Rhinolophus ferrumequinum: one gene and its partner. The protein of the gene in region 2 binds, or shares a complex with, the protein of the main gene of each other region. Links are inferred from orthologs where the notes say so. Each region holds a gene or a part of one and is shown on either strand. Other genes may lie near its edges.

What was found. Proteins that work in one complex are often made in the same cells at the same time.
Region 1: GTF2A1 (region 2) and GTF2H5 share a complex: the UniProt entries of both Homo sapiens proteins name them as parts of the TBP-based Pol II pre-initiation complex. The link is inferred for Rhinolophus ferrumequinum from reciprocal best matches to the Homo sapiens genes GTF2A1 and GTF2H5.

Annotation. Positions count from the first base shown.
Region 1 is NC_046286.1:99,936,180-99,939,926, forward strand, and holds the start of GTF2H5 (general transcription factor IIH subunit 5), read left to right. Parts: upstream 1-927; 5' UTR 928-1,021; exon of another isoform or gene 1,022-1,103; intron 1,104-1,846; 5' UTR 1,847-1,885; coding exon 1,886-1,920; intron 1,921-3,747. UniProt on the Homo sapiens protein: Component of the general transcription and DNA repair factor IIH (TFIIH) core complex, which is involved in general and transcription-coupled nucleotide excision repair (NER) of damaged DNA and, when complexed to CAK, in RNA transcription by RNA polymerase II.
Region 2 is NC_046289.1:18,547,029-18,550,775, forward strand, and holds the start of GTF2A1 (transcription initiation factor IIA subunit 1), read left to right. Parts: upstream 1-1,104; 5' UTR 1,105-1,530; coding exon 1,531-1,560; intron 1,561-3,747. UniProt on the Homo sapiens protein: TFIIA is a component of the transcription machinery of RNA polymerase II and plays an important role in transcriptional activation. TFIIA in a complex with TBP mediates transcriptional activity.

The DNA.
Region 1 (3,747 bases), on a different chromosome or scaffold from region 2:
CTACTTAAAAAAAAGATACTTGGGAAGACCTAGACTTAGGGGCAAATTAGAGGGAGAGCACGCACATGCAACAACATGGAAACCAACAGGAGGAAAAGATTTGAGGACTAGGAAAAGGGAAATAAATGGAAGAGCTGGGTTTGTAAATCATATGAACACAGGAAGTAAAAAGCAGCATGAGCTCAACTGGGGAAGCACAATTTAACCTAAGGAACAGAAACATGGCCATCCTACCTGCACTGGTAAAAATAACTAAGAGTGTGGGACTACAGACCAGAATTTGGAAAAGGAATTAATTTTAGAACCTTCTGGGGTTTCTCACGTTAAAATGACCGTTGCCGGGTTTAGAAAGCTATTAGCATTCAATCCATTCAACCTCCACTGTCTGAGCTAGAAGCTGAGTCTGGAAGGTTCCAATTTGAATGAGACATGTTTCGTCCTGCTTGGTATCTATCATTCCGCGACTACCGCGCCCGGGCTGAAGGTATCGGCACGTGCTCTTTGGGCCTCAGAAAAGAACCACAGAAGGACGACGACCAGAGAAGAGTAGGGCTGCGGAGGCTGGAGACAGGCCCTCACCATCCGCGGAGGGTCAGCGGGTCAGTCGGGGTCCGCGCGTCCTCGCGGGGGCGCCCCGGCCACTCCCCAGCCGCGCCCCGTCGCCGCCCTCCCAGCTCTCCTCTTTGCCCTGCTTGGCTGACGCTCTCGCCCGCCCCCACGAGCACGGCCTCCCCTTCCTACCTGCCAGCACGTGGACTTGGCCTGCTCCCAGCCGCTCACCGCGGACCTGGTCAACGGAGAGCCCACCTGCCTCCCCAGCGCCCGGCCCACGCCCTCCACCCGGCGGCGGGCGGCACGTGACCCCGCCCCCAGAGCGCCGCGACCGGGGCCCTCGGCCCCGTCTGCTCCCCGCCTCCCACCGGCGCGCTCCACCCACTAGAGCGACGCCGACGCCATGACGTAACTGGCGCAGGCGCAGTCTGTCAGCGACGCTGAGGAGCTGCTTGGTCCTTTCGTGGAGGTACGTAGAGTCGGCTCTGCCAGCGAGAGGTGAAAGTGGGGTGCATGGAAGAGAGGGGTCCCGAAAAAGAGAGGAGAGGGAGGTAAGACCCAGCAGACTGTCCTCCAGGTGCTGGGGTACAGGGCGGTGTCTCGCACCCTCTCAGGGCCCTTTTTGACGAGGCCGGACGGCTGTCCCGCAGTAATTGAACCGTGAATTTCCTTTGGGGAGGCATTGCCCCGCGCCCGTGTGTATATAAATTTAACGGTTAAGTTGGCGTGCACTGGGTGGGTTCCTTTCCTTCTAGTGAACATCCTTGGGGTACGTGATTTGTTTGGTAAAGTAACACAAATCTGGGAGACCTGGCTTGTTTTGTTTTGTTGTGGTTTTTTTTTTGGCCGGGAGCAACTGCTTAATCTGTTCGGAGGCTGTCTGTAAAACGAAACGATTGGACTCAATATATAATTTTTAAGGTCCCTTTCAGAGCTATCATTCTGTGATTCTTGCCTCCCAGGATCTTTTATCACATTCCTGATTGGGAAGAGAAATCTTTTGACTAATGTTTTAAAACTTATGCTCGGCACACAGGTGTAGTTAGACCGCTTGTTTTCATTAGGATTGACTGGGTAGAACTGGAAGTAAAATTTATGCATTGTTATTCCAATAGACTGATTTTAATTTTGTTAAAAGATCAGAATATCTATTTTCTTAATGTTTGCCCTATGTCTTTAATAGACTTAAATGTTTAAGCTTTATTTAACATTTTGCCTCATTTCATAGGTAAATCTCCAAAATGTATTGAAGTTGATGCTTTTGAATTTTATGTCACCTTATCCCTTTTACTAGCATTTTTAAGGTCATCTCCATCTTCTGACTGAAGAAAAGATGGTCAACGTTTTGAAAGGAGTGCTTATAGAATGGTTAGTATTTTTAATGCTTAATGAGTTTTTTAGAATTCTTTGTTTTAAGATCTGAATGAATCGAGTCTTTCAGCTTTCTTAACTTCATTTTTTCTTACTTATGTAAGAAGTGGGTCAGGTTTTGTTGCTAAGTTTCTTCCTGGTGCCAGATTTCAACCTCTCTGTTGAATTAATGTGACGGGCATTGTTTCCAACAAGTTTTGATCAGAGGCAGCATATTTGTTAGATTAACCCTCTTTAGAGAAACAGTGCTGGTGTTCTCATACCATCAAGGACTGACTAGAATTTTAGGGTCTGCCTAAGTCTTCACCATCACAAACGATGGCCTTTTAAAAAAGAGAAAAAAAAAACAAGAGACCCAGTTGAAGGTTGTTTAAACTGGTCACACATTTCAGAGAAACTAGAAACTTGAATGGGCAGAGTGGAGTTCCTCAAAGCAAGCTAATGTAGGGCTTAGATATCACGCCGTCTGAAAACCTGAACTGCTGGACCAGTCTTGCTGAGTCCCCACTTGCGTGCTTGACAGTAATTCTGGGAATTCTGCTCTGTGGACACTCCCATTGTCTAACAATACTGCGGTCTATGTTTCTGTGCCCCGAATATGAGCCGTTACATAGATAGTGGTGCTGTTTACTGTAATGGCAAGGCTAGGGGAGGAGCAAGACCAAAACCCTAGGATACTTCTGGCGTTTTACAGCAGCGCTGTCCAATAGAAATATAATGCAAGCCACATATGTAGTCTTAAACTTTCTAGTAGCCACATGGAAAAGTAAAATGTAACAGGTGAGAAGAATATATTTTATTTAACTGAATATATCCAAAAATATTTCAACAGGGATGAAGTCTTCATAATCCATACTAAGACTTCAAAACTGTACAATCTCTTTTCATATTAAAGCTTCAAAATCCAATGTGCATTTTATTTTTACAGAACATTTCATAGACTGTTCCCATTTCAGGTGCTCGGTAGTGACATGTGACTAGTGGGCTACCTTACGGACAGTGCAGATTTAGAGTTTGAGTAGAGGAGACACCAATAAAAGCGATTTAGAAGACAACAGCAAGTGAAGTAGGGAGGCTAAGAGAGGGAATGTCTCATGAAGGTGAGTGGGCGGTGTCAAGTGATGGTGACAGATGGAATAAGATGACACACTGGAGGTCACTGATCTTTTGAGAGCTGTTTACATTGAAAGGTGGGATATATACTTTGGAAAGGGAAAGGGAGGTGAGGAAGTGGAGACTGGAATTTTGTTGTGATGAGCAAAGGAATAGAGAAATGGGTTGGCAGCTAAAGGAGGATGTGATAAGGGACTCTGGTTCTTGTTATTTTTGTTGTTTTCATGGGAAAGACTAGAATGTATATTGAAAAGAATAAAGTGCTAGAGAGGAGAAGTATTGGGAAAACAAAGGGGGCAGAATCTAGATCTCGTAAGTTCTGAACACACTGTGCTGTTTTCTTTTGGAGAAGACTTCTAGGCTAATGTTTGTACTTAATTTTTCTTATTACTTTGTCATAATTAATGGAAACATTTCCTGTTTGGACTTTTAATGTTGTTATTATTATTATTATTATTATTATTATTATTATTATTATTATTATTTTAAACACAGAGGACCCACAGTGCCAGCTATCAGTATTTTCCCTTTTGTTTCTTCCAATTCTCCTAAATTTAATCGTAACCCCAGGATTTGATAAACTTTCACTTCTCTCATAGAGTTTTCCTATTTTTGTTTTTGTTGATGTTTAAAGTTTCATTTATCTGGAATTTATTGGGAGAGGGGCATATTATGAATTGAAGATCCCAAGTAGCCCCTTTTTTTGGTCAA
Region 2 (3,747 bases):
ACTCCCTCGTTCGTTCAGACTACAGTCTGTGTCTCGAAATTCCTAGGGACAAGAAAATTAGGTACTGTGAGTTCTGCCTTCTAAACAGAGCATTCTCTGTTCTGCGTGAAGTGTTGATATAAAGGCGGGATTTGCTTGGGCAAAGTAGGTCAAACACACTCCAACTCATGGATATTTACTGCCAGCTCTCGCAGCGAGAGTCCAGGTGAGTTGGTCGGTCAAGAGCAAGTATTTCAGACATTACAACACGTTGGCCATGTGGAGTCACAGAATGTTGGCAATATTTAAAGAAAACCGAAAAACAGGGAAAGTTACCCTGCTGTCACAATCCGGGGGTCGGTGTTTTGGTTTGTTTTCTTGGCATTCCCACCACGGCGACAAGTCATTTAAAAGGAGAGGTCGGACCTTTGAGGAATTTAAACCCAGAGACATTTAAGTTGTTTTGGTAGGGACAAAACAACTCAGCAGATTTCAGGAGTTATTAATTCTGGAATGTTAACCGTGGGCCCAAATCAGCTTTCGTCCCTTTTAGGAACATGACAATTTCGCGAGTGAAAGGCCCACCCTGGGCGACAGCCGCAGACGCCTTGAAGCGCTAAATCCCAAACAAACTCGAACCCCTGGGCGATGACTCCGCATTTAAAACTCTGCCCTCAGTCCGCGCGCGCCTGGGGCCGGAAGTGAGCCACGTGACCGGTCATACTCCGCGGCCACTCTTAATGAGGCAGCTGTCGCCGCCCCTTCCACATTTCCCAACTCTTCCAGCGGGACGGCGCAGAAACGCCTGACAGGAGGCGGTCCCAGCTAGCATTGGACTCGAGTATCACCAGAATTCACGCCTTTTCCAGGGATTTGCAGGCTCTTCATTCCAAAGGCGCTGCGGGAGACTTCCGCCTGGGTACCAACCACGTGATCACAGGAGATTGGGGGAGGCTGCGATCTGACTTCACTACTCCAGTCCCGGGACTCCGCCCGCCAACCTCCAGAGCGCGTGACGACGCGGCTCTCGCGGTGTCTCGCGCTCAGCCCCGCCCACCTCTGCCCCCGCCCTTTCCGTCCCTCCCTCCCCCTCCGCCCTGTCTCTCGGCGGCGGCGGCGGCGGTGGCGGCTCGCGCAGCTCGTTGGCTCGCTATATAAAGGGGAGAAGCGGGCGGACCGGACGGCTGGAGCTGCAGCCGGTGGCGGCAGCGGCGGCGCGGGGAGCGGAGACGTGGTGGTTTCCCTGCTTGGCACGGGGTGGGGAGCGGGCAACGCCCCCCGGACCCCCTAAGGGTCGTGGCTTTTTTTTTTTTTTTTAAGGGCGATTCTCGAGGTTTTTTAGCTCCGGGAGGACTGCCCCCCTCCTCCTCTCACCGCTCCCCTCTACTTCAGGATCCGATTTTGTTTCAAAAATTTTCCCCCAATCTTGCGGTGGCTTGGGTCACCCTCCGGTGTTTTTTTTTTCTGTTTTTTTTTGTTTTTCGTTTTTTGGTTTCGATTTCATCTTGTTTTCTCGGGGTTGCCCCCCTCTTATTTGTGTTGTGTGTGGAAATGGCGAACTCGGCAAATTCAAACACCGTGGTAAGGACGTGGTTCGGTGGCCGGCGGGGGCTTCGTTCAGGCGGCAGCAACGGCCGGACCGGGCGGGGGCGGGGACGGCGGCGACTCCCGGCCTCGACTCTTCTTAGCCGCCCGCGCGGCCGCCGCCGCCGCTTCCCGCCTCGGGCGGAGCGGGCCGGGGCGCCGGGCGCGGGGGGGGCGGGCATCGAGGGCTCAAGGCGGCGGGGAGGGCGGGGGCGCCGGCGGGGCCTGGGGCCGCCGCGGGGCGGTCGGGGCCGCGGAGGCCGTTGGGCCGTGGCGAACGCGCGGCCCCGGTTCCAGACCCCGGCCGCCGGGACGGAGGGAGGGGAGCCGCCGCTTGCTCCCGAAGTGGGTCCGGCCGCCCTGGCTGGAGGGCTCCCCGAGCAGCCTCAAAACAAAAACCGCCTGGGGAATTGGGCGAATCCCCAAAACCACCGTGATCCACTTTAATGCAGTGGAAGGCTCATGGCTACTTGGGGGTTACTTGGGGTGTTTCTGGCGATTGTGCTTAGGGAGCCTTCCCTGGGGCCATTTTATGTTTAAAAAAAGAGGACGAAGGTTGAAAAGCACTTATCTCGGTTCCTTCCGAATTGGTAAAATGGCGAAGGGGAAGCAAAACCCCCATCGTATCTTCAACTAGCAAAAGCACCAAAGCAAACAAAAAAAGCCTACAGTGGCCAAAGTGTCACCGCTTTGCCTTGAAATTTGCCTACTTCTTCCCGTTTGTCCCTTTTTGGTTACTTGCGATCACGTAGGTTTGCAAAAAGCAGTCACATAAATAACCTTTTCAGTCACCAACGCAATGTGATCACTAGTCCACCCCACTCTTATTTTTATTGTGACAATAAAACACGTTTTTGCCCGGTCCCAAATGCCGCAGACCAGCCCGCGGCCGCCCGACTCCGTACCGTTGGCGACTCGGGTCGATCCATCATGGCTGCGGCCGCTTACCCTGCTTTTCAGTCCCTGAGCCTTGTGGTCCTCCTCCCTTTGGCTGCCCTGTTTATATAGAGCCATTGCCGCTCTCTAATATAGACTCTGCCAGGATGGGAAGGTGCTTTTCAGGCCTACGTCACCGCCTCTCCATTTAAACACCAGATCCGGCTTTAAATAGTGAGAGCTGCTGAGAGCGGGGCTGGGAGGTGCGTGCTCCCTAGGCGAGAGGCAGGCGCGTGCAGAGCTCAGTTTATTTCTAGATCTTATACTGGAATTTCGCATCCAACCGAGGCTGCTTTCAGAGCCCCAAGTTTTTGTTTTGGTGCAGCATTTGGGATTTGCCGTCCTTGCTAGGGGGAAGTAGAATTGCTGTCCCTTTTTTTATACTTTATATTTATTTTTGTTTTTAAAGAGAATTTTAGTTCAAATGTGTGTTCTTGTATTAGAAAATGTGTGCATTATTGTCGGGAATTTAAAAAAATGCCTTCTATATTAACTGTTAGTCGCAGAGGACTTTTGATAGTATTTGTTCAAGTATTCAGGAAATAATGTTAGAAATATAGCTCCTAGTATTTCATTATGCTTTCCTATAATAAATATCAATGACACGAAGCTTTTCAAAGAAATTAATGCTTAAGTTTCAAGGTACGACCTTATGTCCACAGTACATTTATGTATAGAATTGTGAGGAATGAGAGGGCTTAGTGGATTTAAACAAAAATTAAAATTCTAAGTAGTGTTTTTATTGCATTGGGTATTAATATATGCAATATAGAAATTCAACTTTCAAATATTGCACCAATATAACATTTTTGAAAGGAATCTTCTAATTAAACATTAGATAATGCCACTGTGGTCCTTTAATTTACCAGTTTTTAAGTTTGGAAATACGTCCTCTTTTTTGAAAACCAGGGCAAACTTCCTGGTTTGTATTTCATAAAAGGCAAAAACTTCAGCTCAAATAAAGTTTAGCATTTTAAATAATAATTTGGAAATCGGTTATTTCAAAAAGTGTCTGTACCCACATACTTTTAAAAACATCAGCATTTTGAGGGCTTTTCAACTTAATTCCGCTAAATTATTCTTTAGGCGTATGGTTCACGAAGAAGACACATTTTCCTTCAATTATACTGCTTATGAATTCATTAAGTGGTCAAGTTGTGGATTAATTAAGGCACAGAAGCAAGATCTTAAAGCAAAGTTGATTCATCAAATTGGGAGTGTCAAAAGAAAGCCACATTTGTACCAGTA